Sus scrofa: one gene and its partner. The protein of the gene in region 1 interacts with the protein of each later gene in a pairwise test. Links are inferred from orthologs where the notes say so. Each region holds a gene or a part of one and is shown on either strand. Other genes may lie near its edges.

Region 1 (3,816 bases):
GTGGAAGATCGTCATTTACTAAGACACGGTGAAAAGACCTAGAAGGTGTCAGTGAGGCCATGAATCTCTTATTTTCCTTATGAGGACCTGTGATTAAGGCAACTATGTGATTTTATATACATCAACTATATTTCAATGGAAAAAAATGTTTAAATGACAACTCCTTAATCTCTGTCATCTGTCCAGCTAGAACCACAATCAAAGAATTTTTGTGTGATAGGTTCTCCTTCACCAGAAATGTCTACCATCTGGTATTTTATCTGCCAAAGGAATGATAATTGGTACATTTTTTTCTGCTCTCTAAAACCATAAGTTATTAGATTTGAAGAGTTCTTAGAAAGTGGAAAAAAACTTACCAGCTATTTATTTTGCCATGAGATGTCATTAAAAACAAAAAAACCTGCTACATACCACCATCTAACCGCAGCACTATGATAAATGATATTTTCTTATTGTTGGGTTTTCATCTATGAAAAAACCTAAGGTCAGGAGACAGGTTTTTGGACATTTAATAATTCTGATTCCCCCCCTCCTTTTTTTTTTCCATGCTAGAGCCTCCAGTTATGGTGACCAAACAGCTGGAAGATACAAAAGCTTACTGTGGAGAGAGAGTGGAATTAGAATGTGAGGTGTCTGAAGATGATGCCAACGTAAAATGGTAAATAGCTTTCCTGAGGTCTGTCCATTTTTAATAGACGAAAGAAAGGGCCCTTCATAGCTTGGAGAATAGGAAATTGCTTTTGCACATATGAAAAGAAACTCACCTTCACTCGTGTTACTAGCAATTATAACTAAAGCTTTATCAAGATACTGTGAAAATGAAAACTGAGAAATGTCCAGAAATCTGTCTTGGTAGGGATATAGGGAAGCAGGCACTTACGAGTAAAGGGATGGCTCAGGGTTCCCCAGGTCTATTTAACTCCAAAGTCCATGGGTGCTCTATACCATGCTTACTCTTACTATACCATACTGACAAGTTACATGGAAAAATTGTTTTCATTTTATTACTAGTCACTTTATTGTTACCGTATCTCAAGAAAATATTTTAGACTGAGAATTACCAATTACTTAAAAAAATTTTTTTAATAAAAAGCATTTTTTAATCTGATGGGAAGTGTTTTCTCAAGTTCTCTGCAAATAACTTCAAAATTAAAGACTAGAAGACTCCAAGCATTCCTGTTGTGGCTCAGCGGAAGTGAATCCAACTAGGATCCATGAGGAAGCTGGCTCAATCCCTGGCCTCGCTCACTGGGTTAAGGATCTGGCGTTGCTGTGAGCTTTGGTGTAGGTCACAGTCGCAGCTTGGATCCAGCGTTGCTGTGGCTGTGGTATAGTCCGGCAGCTGCAGGTCCAATTCAACCCCTAGTCTGGGAACTTCCATATGCCATGGGTGCAGCCCTAAAAAGTGGGGGGGGGGGGGTAAAGACTAGAAGACCCAGAATCTTAAAAATGAAATACTTTTTTGAGAAATATAGTAAATTATGCCACAGGAATCTCTAGTAATTGGTACAGAATAGATTGTTCATTCTAATCTAGAATCTTGGCTATCTTTCCAATGTATTAAAATGTTATTCTTACTTGTGTGTGTCAAGAGCCCAGACGTGGATAATACCCACTCTTAGTATCTTTATCTGATTGATCTTGAACGGAAAGAGGGGGCTTATTTTTTTTTATTTTTTGTCTTTTTGCCATTTCTTGGGCTGCTCTCACGGCATATGGAGGTTCCCAGGCTAGGGGTCTAATCAGAGCTGTAGCCACCAGCCTATACCAGAGCCACAGCAATGCGGGATCTGAGCCGGGAGTCTTCTACCTACACCACAGCTCATGGCAACGCCGGATCCTTAATCCACTGAGCAAGGTTAGGGATTGAACCTGCAACCTCATGGTTCCTAGTCAGATTCATTAACCACTGCGCCATGACGGGAACTCCCAGGAGGGGGCTTACATTTTTAATGTAATTTTTCAGGAAATGCTTGCCCAGTATTAGGCCACTGATAGATTGATTCATAAGTGCTTTAATTCAGCAAAGAGTCTTTGAATGTTTGGTATCTGTATCCTGAAGAGTCTTTTATAAAACTTTTTCCATAATATATTTTAACTCAGGTTTAAGAATGGTGAGGAAATTATCCCTGGTCCAAAATCAAGATACCGAATTAAAGTTGATGGCAAGAAACACATCTTGATCATAGAAGGAGCAACAAAGGCTGATACTGCAGAATATTCTGTAATGACAACAGGAGGACAGTCATCTGCTAAACTTAGTGTTGACTGTAAGTAAGACTTCCTTGGATGTCTTCCAGGTGGTTTTCCTAGTGGTGTTGCATTTGTTCATTCAACTCAATCTATCCGATTTCTACTTGTGACAGTTTTAAACATGTGACGTTAGATTCCATTCTAGTTGAGTGTCTGTGTCATATCCATCAGGGTCTCTGAGAAAAGAACCTACTACTCAATTTAATAGTAGAATACCAGGAGTTCCTGCTGTGGCCCAAGTGGGTTAAGAATCCAACTGTAGTGGTTTGGTTTGCTGCAGAGGTGAGGGTTCAGTCCCTAGCACAGCACAGTGGGCTAAGAATACAACATTGCCACAGCTACACTGGGTTCAATCCCTGGTCCAAGAAGTTCCATATGCTGTGGGAGCAGCCATTAAAAAAAATGTAGAATATCAGTATTGGGAAGGAAGTATAAAAATCACCTGCCACAGAGTTATCCAAATGGTTAAGAGATATTTTAATCCTCAAACCATATAAATGGTTGATAAATACTTAGATATGATATCAAATCCTGATATCCTGTTTCCTTAATCCATAGATGAACTTACTATCTATTCATTAAACATTCAGCATTCTACAATTTGGAGTGAGGAGTTACTCAAAATAATGGTCTTCAGCTGAGAAGACTGTAAGGGCGAGTTTGCGGATATTCTTCAGCAGCGTGAGGGAAGGCATGTTCTTCCCCAAGGCCCCCTGGTGATAGTCAGTTCTTAGCGGCAGAGTCTGTCACCTCCAGTTAGCCATGAAAGTTAGAATAGCAAATTTCACAAGAAGATTAATAAGAAATGCAGAGCAGAAATACCACTTCTTTACTTCTTTCTTAGTCTGGGTGTGATTCATATGATCATCGAATTATTTGGAAATAATCTCGGTATACTCCTTATGTTTTGGGGAATGGTAGTCATTTGAGTATAATATCAAAAAAGTTTTTTTCAAGCATAGGCAGATCCTTCTCTGATATTTTTATCCATTTAAAACAATTACAGTCGGGAGTTCCCATTATGGCTCAGCAGAAATGAATCTTACTAGCACCCTTGAGGATGCAGGTTTGATTCTTGGCCTTACTCATTGGGTTAAAGATCCAGCATTGCTGTGAGCTGTGGTGTAGGTTGCAGACCCAGCTCGGATCTGGCATTGCTGTGGCTGAGGCATAGGCTGGCAGCTGTAGCTCTGATTCAACCCCTAGCCTGGGAACCTCCATATGCCACAGGTATGACCCTAAAAAAAAAATTATTATAGCAAAACTGATTGTACCATTGTGAAATGAAACCATCTTGACCTGTCTGGAGTTGGAATTTGTCACTTATAACCATCTATTATTTCTGTAGTAAAACCTCTGAAGATATTGACACCTCTGACTGATCAGACTGTAAACCTTGGAAAAGAAATCTGCTTGAAATGTGAAATCTCTGAAAACATATCAGGAAAATGGACTAAAAATAGTCTACCTGTTCAGGAGACTGACCGTCTAAAGATTATTCACAAAGGAAGGTAAGCAAGCTAGGGTGATCCCTAAGTGAGGACTGGTGCCCATCTTCACTTC
Region 2 (3,816 bases), on another chromosome or scaffold:
ACAGGTGGGAGCCAGGCCGTCCACGGGGCCCACCAGCGCGCGGGCAGCGGCCGCCCGGCGCCCGGCCCCCCGCTCCACCGCGCGCGCGCGCCGCCGTCCCCCGCGCCGCCGGGACCTGAGAAGATGCCAAAGCTCCGCCGAGGGCTCCCGTGCTTTCCAGAACCCACATCCCCTGCCACCGCCATCGCCCTGTGACTGACGCGCACCGACCTCCCAGCACAACCAGTTTCTTTGATTTAGGTCAGGGCCATGGCATCAAAGTGGCCACCAGGAGGCAAACTTGGGCCGTTTGTGGGGTGTGCACTTACCGGGCCTCGAGGAGCTGCTAAGCTTCGATTTTTTCTATAAAGAACCACCACCCACGAGGGACAAGTCCTCTCTCCACCCGGATGCCTGCCCCGGAGGTTGGCGCTGGGAAACAGGGTGAGAGGCAAGCGTTTCCCGTGGCACACTGGGGCCTTCCTAGCTTTAGAGACTGGGTGGCTCACTCTTGACACAGTCCTTTTCCCTGAGGATGGCAAAAGTCTTCTCAAATGTACATTTCAAGGCTCCCCGGGAGATGGGAAAATTGGAGACGGGGGAGAGGGCCCAGGGCACGTGGACCGCGGCCGCGAGATGAGGAATGAAGTGATTCGCTTGGCTCCTGATCGCAAAAGACCTGCCCACTGGCACCTCTGAGCTACCTTCCCCTACGGGGTGTTTGCATCCCAGCTTCTGGCTCGCCGCCCCCCCTCCCCCGCTCCCCTCCCGCACCCCAGCCCAGCCCGCGCCTGGCCCCCCCCCGCCCCTCCCCCGCCCCCAGCATCCCCGCGCAGTGCCTGCCCGTGGCCGTGGGTCTCAGGCTCGTGATCTCCGGCAGCATCGTAAGTTAGTCGGCAGTAGTCAGAAGTGTTCTGTGTTGCAAAGGCTAACCTGGCCTGGGGGAGAATCCGCACTATTTGGGGGCCTTTGGGACCACAGTGGCAGGGGGAGGGGGCACTCTCTGGGGCCTTTGTGGATGAAACCGACGACGTAGGAAAATGAGAGATGGTTACCATGCGCAAGACCTAGCCTGGCAGACTTAGCAAGGACTCTTTAGCCTACCAGTGATGGGGTTCTTGCATCCAGCACACTTCTTGGCCACAAAGTTCTTGTAGCAATCCACGCAGTAATACTGGTCCTCCACAGCGGTGAAACGCTGCCCAGCCAGCTTCTTAGAGCAGGTAACACACACAAAGCACTCGGCATGCCAGGGCTGATCCTGGTAAGTGATTCCTCCAGATGTGATGGCCTAGACCAGGGAGTGTAGCACCGGATTCAGATTCAACAACCATTTTGTTGAATGCCTACTACGTGCCAGGCACTGTGCTGGGCGCTCGGGTCTACAGTATCTCATTGAATCGCCACAACGGCCATGGGAGGCAGGTGCCATTATTATCCCCAGGTTCCAGACGAGGACACCGGGGCTCGGGGAAGGCGAGCCCGTGTGCAAGGTTAACGCGGCAACCGGGTGGCGGAGGCCGGCCTCCAGAGCCAGTCAGGGTGCCTGCCTCGGCCTGGGCGCTGCTTTCGACCGCCCCGGTCTCCTCCTCTGTGACACGAGAATAATAATTCCTACGTCGCAGGGCTGTCGTGAGGATGGAATGGGATAGTGTGTGTGCAAGTGCTCTGCAAACTGTCAAATGCTTCTAGAAACAATGGCCAGCGCAGAACGCCCTTGACAACGTACCTTGTTGCACTTCACGCAGTGCTTGGCAAACTTGGTCTCATGGCAAGTCACGCAGTAGAAGTCCTCCCCTTTGGGGAAGAAGCTTCCTGTCCCAATGACTTGCTTGCAGTTGCTGCAGGTGAAGCAGTCTTTGTGCCAGACGGTGCCCTTGTACTCCACGTTCTGATCGCCTGCGGGGGGAAGCGAGGGGGTAGCCCCACTGACAGTGCCCTGCAGGGGGCTGCATCCGCTCAGCCTCCCTGGGCCCTCCAGAGGGGAGGGAACGCAGGCCCTGCAGTTGTTGGCCTCACACTTCCCCTGACCCTGCCCGTGGGCTCCCCTACCGCGCCCCCCGTGCGGTCATGCCGACCCAGACGCTGTCCGTGGGGGGGGGGGGGGGACCTGGCTGTACCTTGTGGGGCTCAGACGCCTGAATCCCCGCGCCGCGCGCCCCCACCCCCTGCATGGACTCAAGAGATTCCAGTGGGAAGGGGCTCCTTGACCAGGAACAGCACCCCAGGAAGAAGCATGCTTCGATCACTTACTAAACCCAAATGAGAAAGCGCTACATACTTGTCGCTTCCTTCTCTTGCCACAGCCCGTTCTCTCCAGGGTTCTTTACTTGCCGAGTGTGTGCGTGTGTGCGAGCATATATGTGTACACATATATACGGGTGTATATATGCATGCATATATATGCTAACCTCCGGCAGCGGCTCCCGCCAGCGTCATCCCCATCACAAGCACCCCTGCGCCACGCTGCCCTCAGGGCCTCCTCCCTGGCTGCCCCGGGGCTGAGTGTGGCCGGTACCTGCCACGATGGGCTTGAAGCACCCCTTGCACTTGGGGGAATCCTCGCGAGTGGTGCACTTGTTGCACAGGATCTTGTTGTCCTTGGCCATAAAGGTCTCATTGGCCAAGGGGTGAAGGCACTTGGAGCAGCGGAAGCAGGTGTCGTGCCAGTAGCGGTTCTTGTAGTGCACCTCCTGGGAACCGAGCACAGGGGGTGGCCGTCAGGATGACACAGTCCCTGACACCCTGGATGCGGGGGAGGCTGGAAGACTCCACTCCTGAGACAATCGCAAGGGCTGGCGTCTGGCCGTGTTCCCCATCAGCCAGCCAGGGATGGAAGTGTGGCTGCTCCTCCGCGCGCCGGCCCTGCCCTGCCCCCCCCCAACCCTGGCCCCACGGGCGCTACCTTGGAGTCAGCGCCGATGGGTTTGCGGCACTCCACGCAGGTGTTGGCGCAGAACTTGTCGAAGCACTTCAGGCAGCAGTGGTGGCCGTCCTTCTGCACGTACTTCTTTCCCTGCAGCGGGTCCCTGCAGTAGTGGCAGTCAAACTTCTCGGCCATGGTGCCTACCTTGTAGCTGGAGGGGCCTGCGGGGGGCAAGGAGGCAGAACAAATGAGACGCGAAGGCCAAGGGGTTCGGGGACTGCGGCCAGGGCGCTGAGGCCAGAGGCAGTTCACTGGTGACTCCGGCGATGAAACAGACAGTCCCTGGGCTCCCGGGAGAGGGTCCCACTGGGCCATCCCCCTGCACTGCCTCTGAGAGGACACTGAGGGGGCCAGGCGGCTCTGAGCCGAGCTGGGCGGGCGGCCGCTGGGGCAGCGTCTGCAGCTCCTAGGAGGAGAGGCTGGCGGGGGAGGGAGAAGGCCCCCACGCTCCCAGCCACGGAATTCAGCGCATCTGAACCCAAACTTTCTGCCAACACCAGACCATGCTAGGGACATGAGCAGTGCGTAAGCATTTATTTCAAATCTGGCAGAGCACTTTGTAATCCCTGAAATGATCCTACAGAATGACTTCCAAGACAGTTTACTGACTCTGGAGGCCTGAGCAATCAGTTCTGCACCCGTGAGCTATCTGTCACAGTGGCGTTTGGCTTCGTGACGCGCCAAAAATCAAATCCCCCTTCATCCAAGCAAGTGAGGATCAATAGAGTCCATGAAGTGTCAGGATTCAGGACCCTGCAGTTTGCAAAACTGCCATCTTCAAGCAGCATCTAGGTGGGGGCGGGGATGACTTTGTAAAAAGTGTCAGGCGGATTTTGTCAAGAACCCCTCCCGCACTGCCTGCAGCTGAACAACTCCCCCCGGCCCCAACCCGAGGGCCTGCGGTCACCAGC

What was found.
Region 2: the proteins of MYBPC1 (region 1) and FHL1 interact in a two-hybrid assay, tested with the Homo sapiens proteins (2 studies listed by BioGRID and IntAct). The link is inferred for Sus scrofa from reciprocal best matches to the Homo sapiens genes MYBPC1 and FHL1.

The regions. Positions count from the first base shown.
Region 1 is NC_010447.5:82,595,673-82,599,488, reverse strand, and holds part of MYBPC1 (myosin-binding protein C, slow-type), read left to right. Parts: intron 1-552; coding exon 553-658; intron 659-2,103; coding exon 2,104-2,270; intron 2,271-3,601; coding exon 3,602-3,764; intron 3,765-3,816. UniProt on the Homo sapiens protein: Thick filament-associated protein located in the crossbridge region of vertebrate striated muscle a bands. Slow skeletal protein that binds to both myosin and actin.
Region 2 is NC_010461.5:111,362,542-111,366,357, reverse strand, and holds part of FHL1 (four and a half LIM domains protein 1), read right to left. Parts: intron 3,067-3,816; coding exon 2,885-3,066; intron 2,673-2,884; coding exon 2,498-2,672; intron 1,879-2,497; coding exon 1,709-1,878; intron 1,271-1,708; coding exon 1,084-1,270; intron 509-1,083; coding exon of another isoform or gene 309-508; intron 1-308.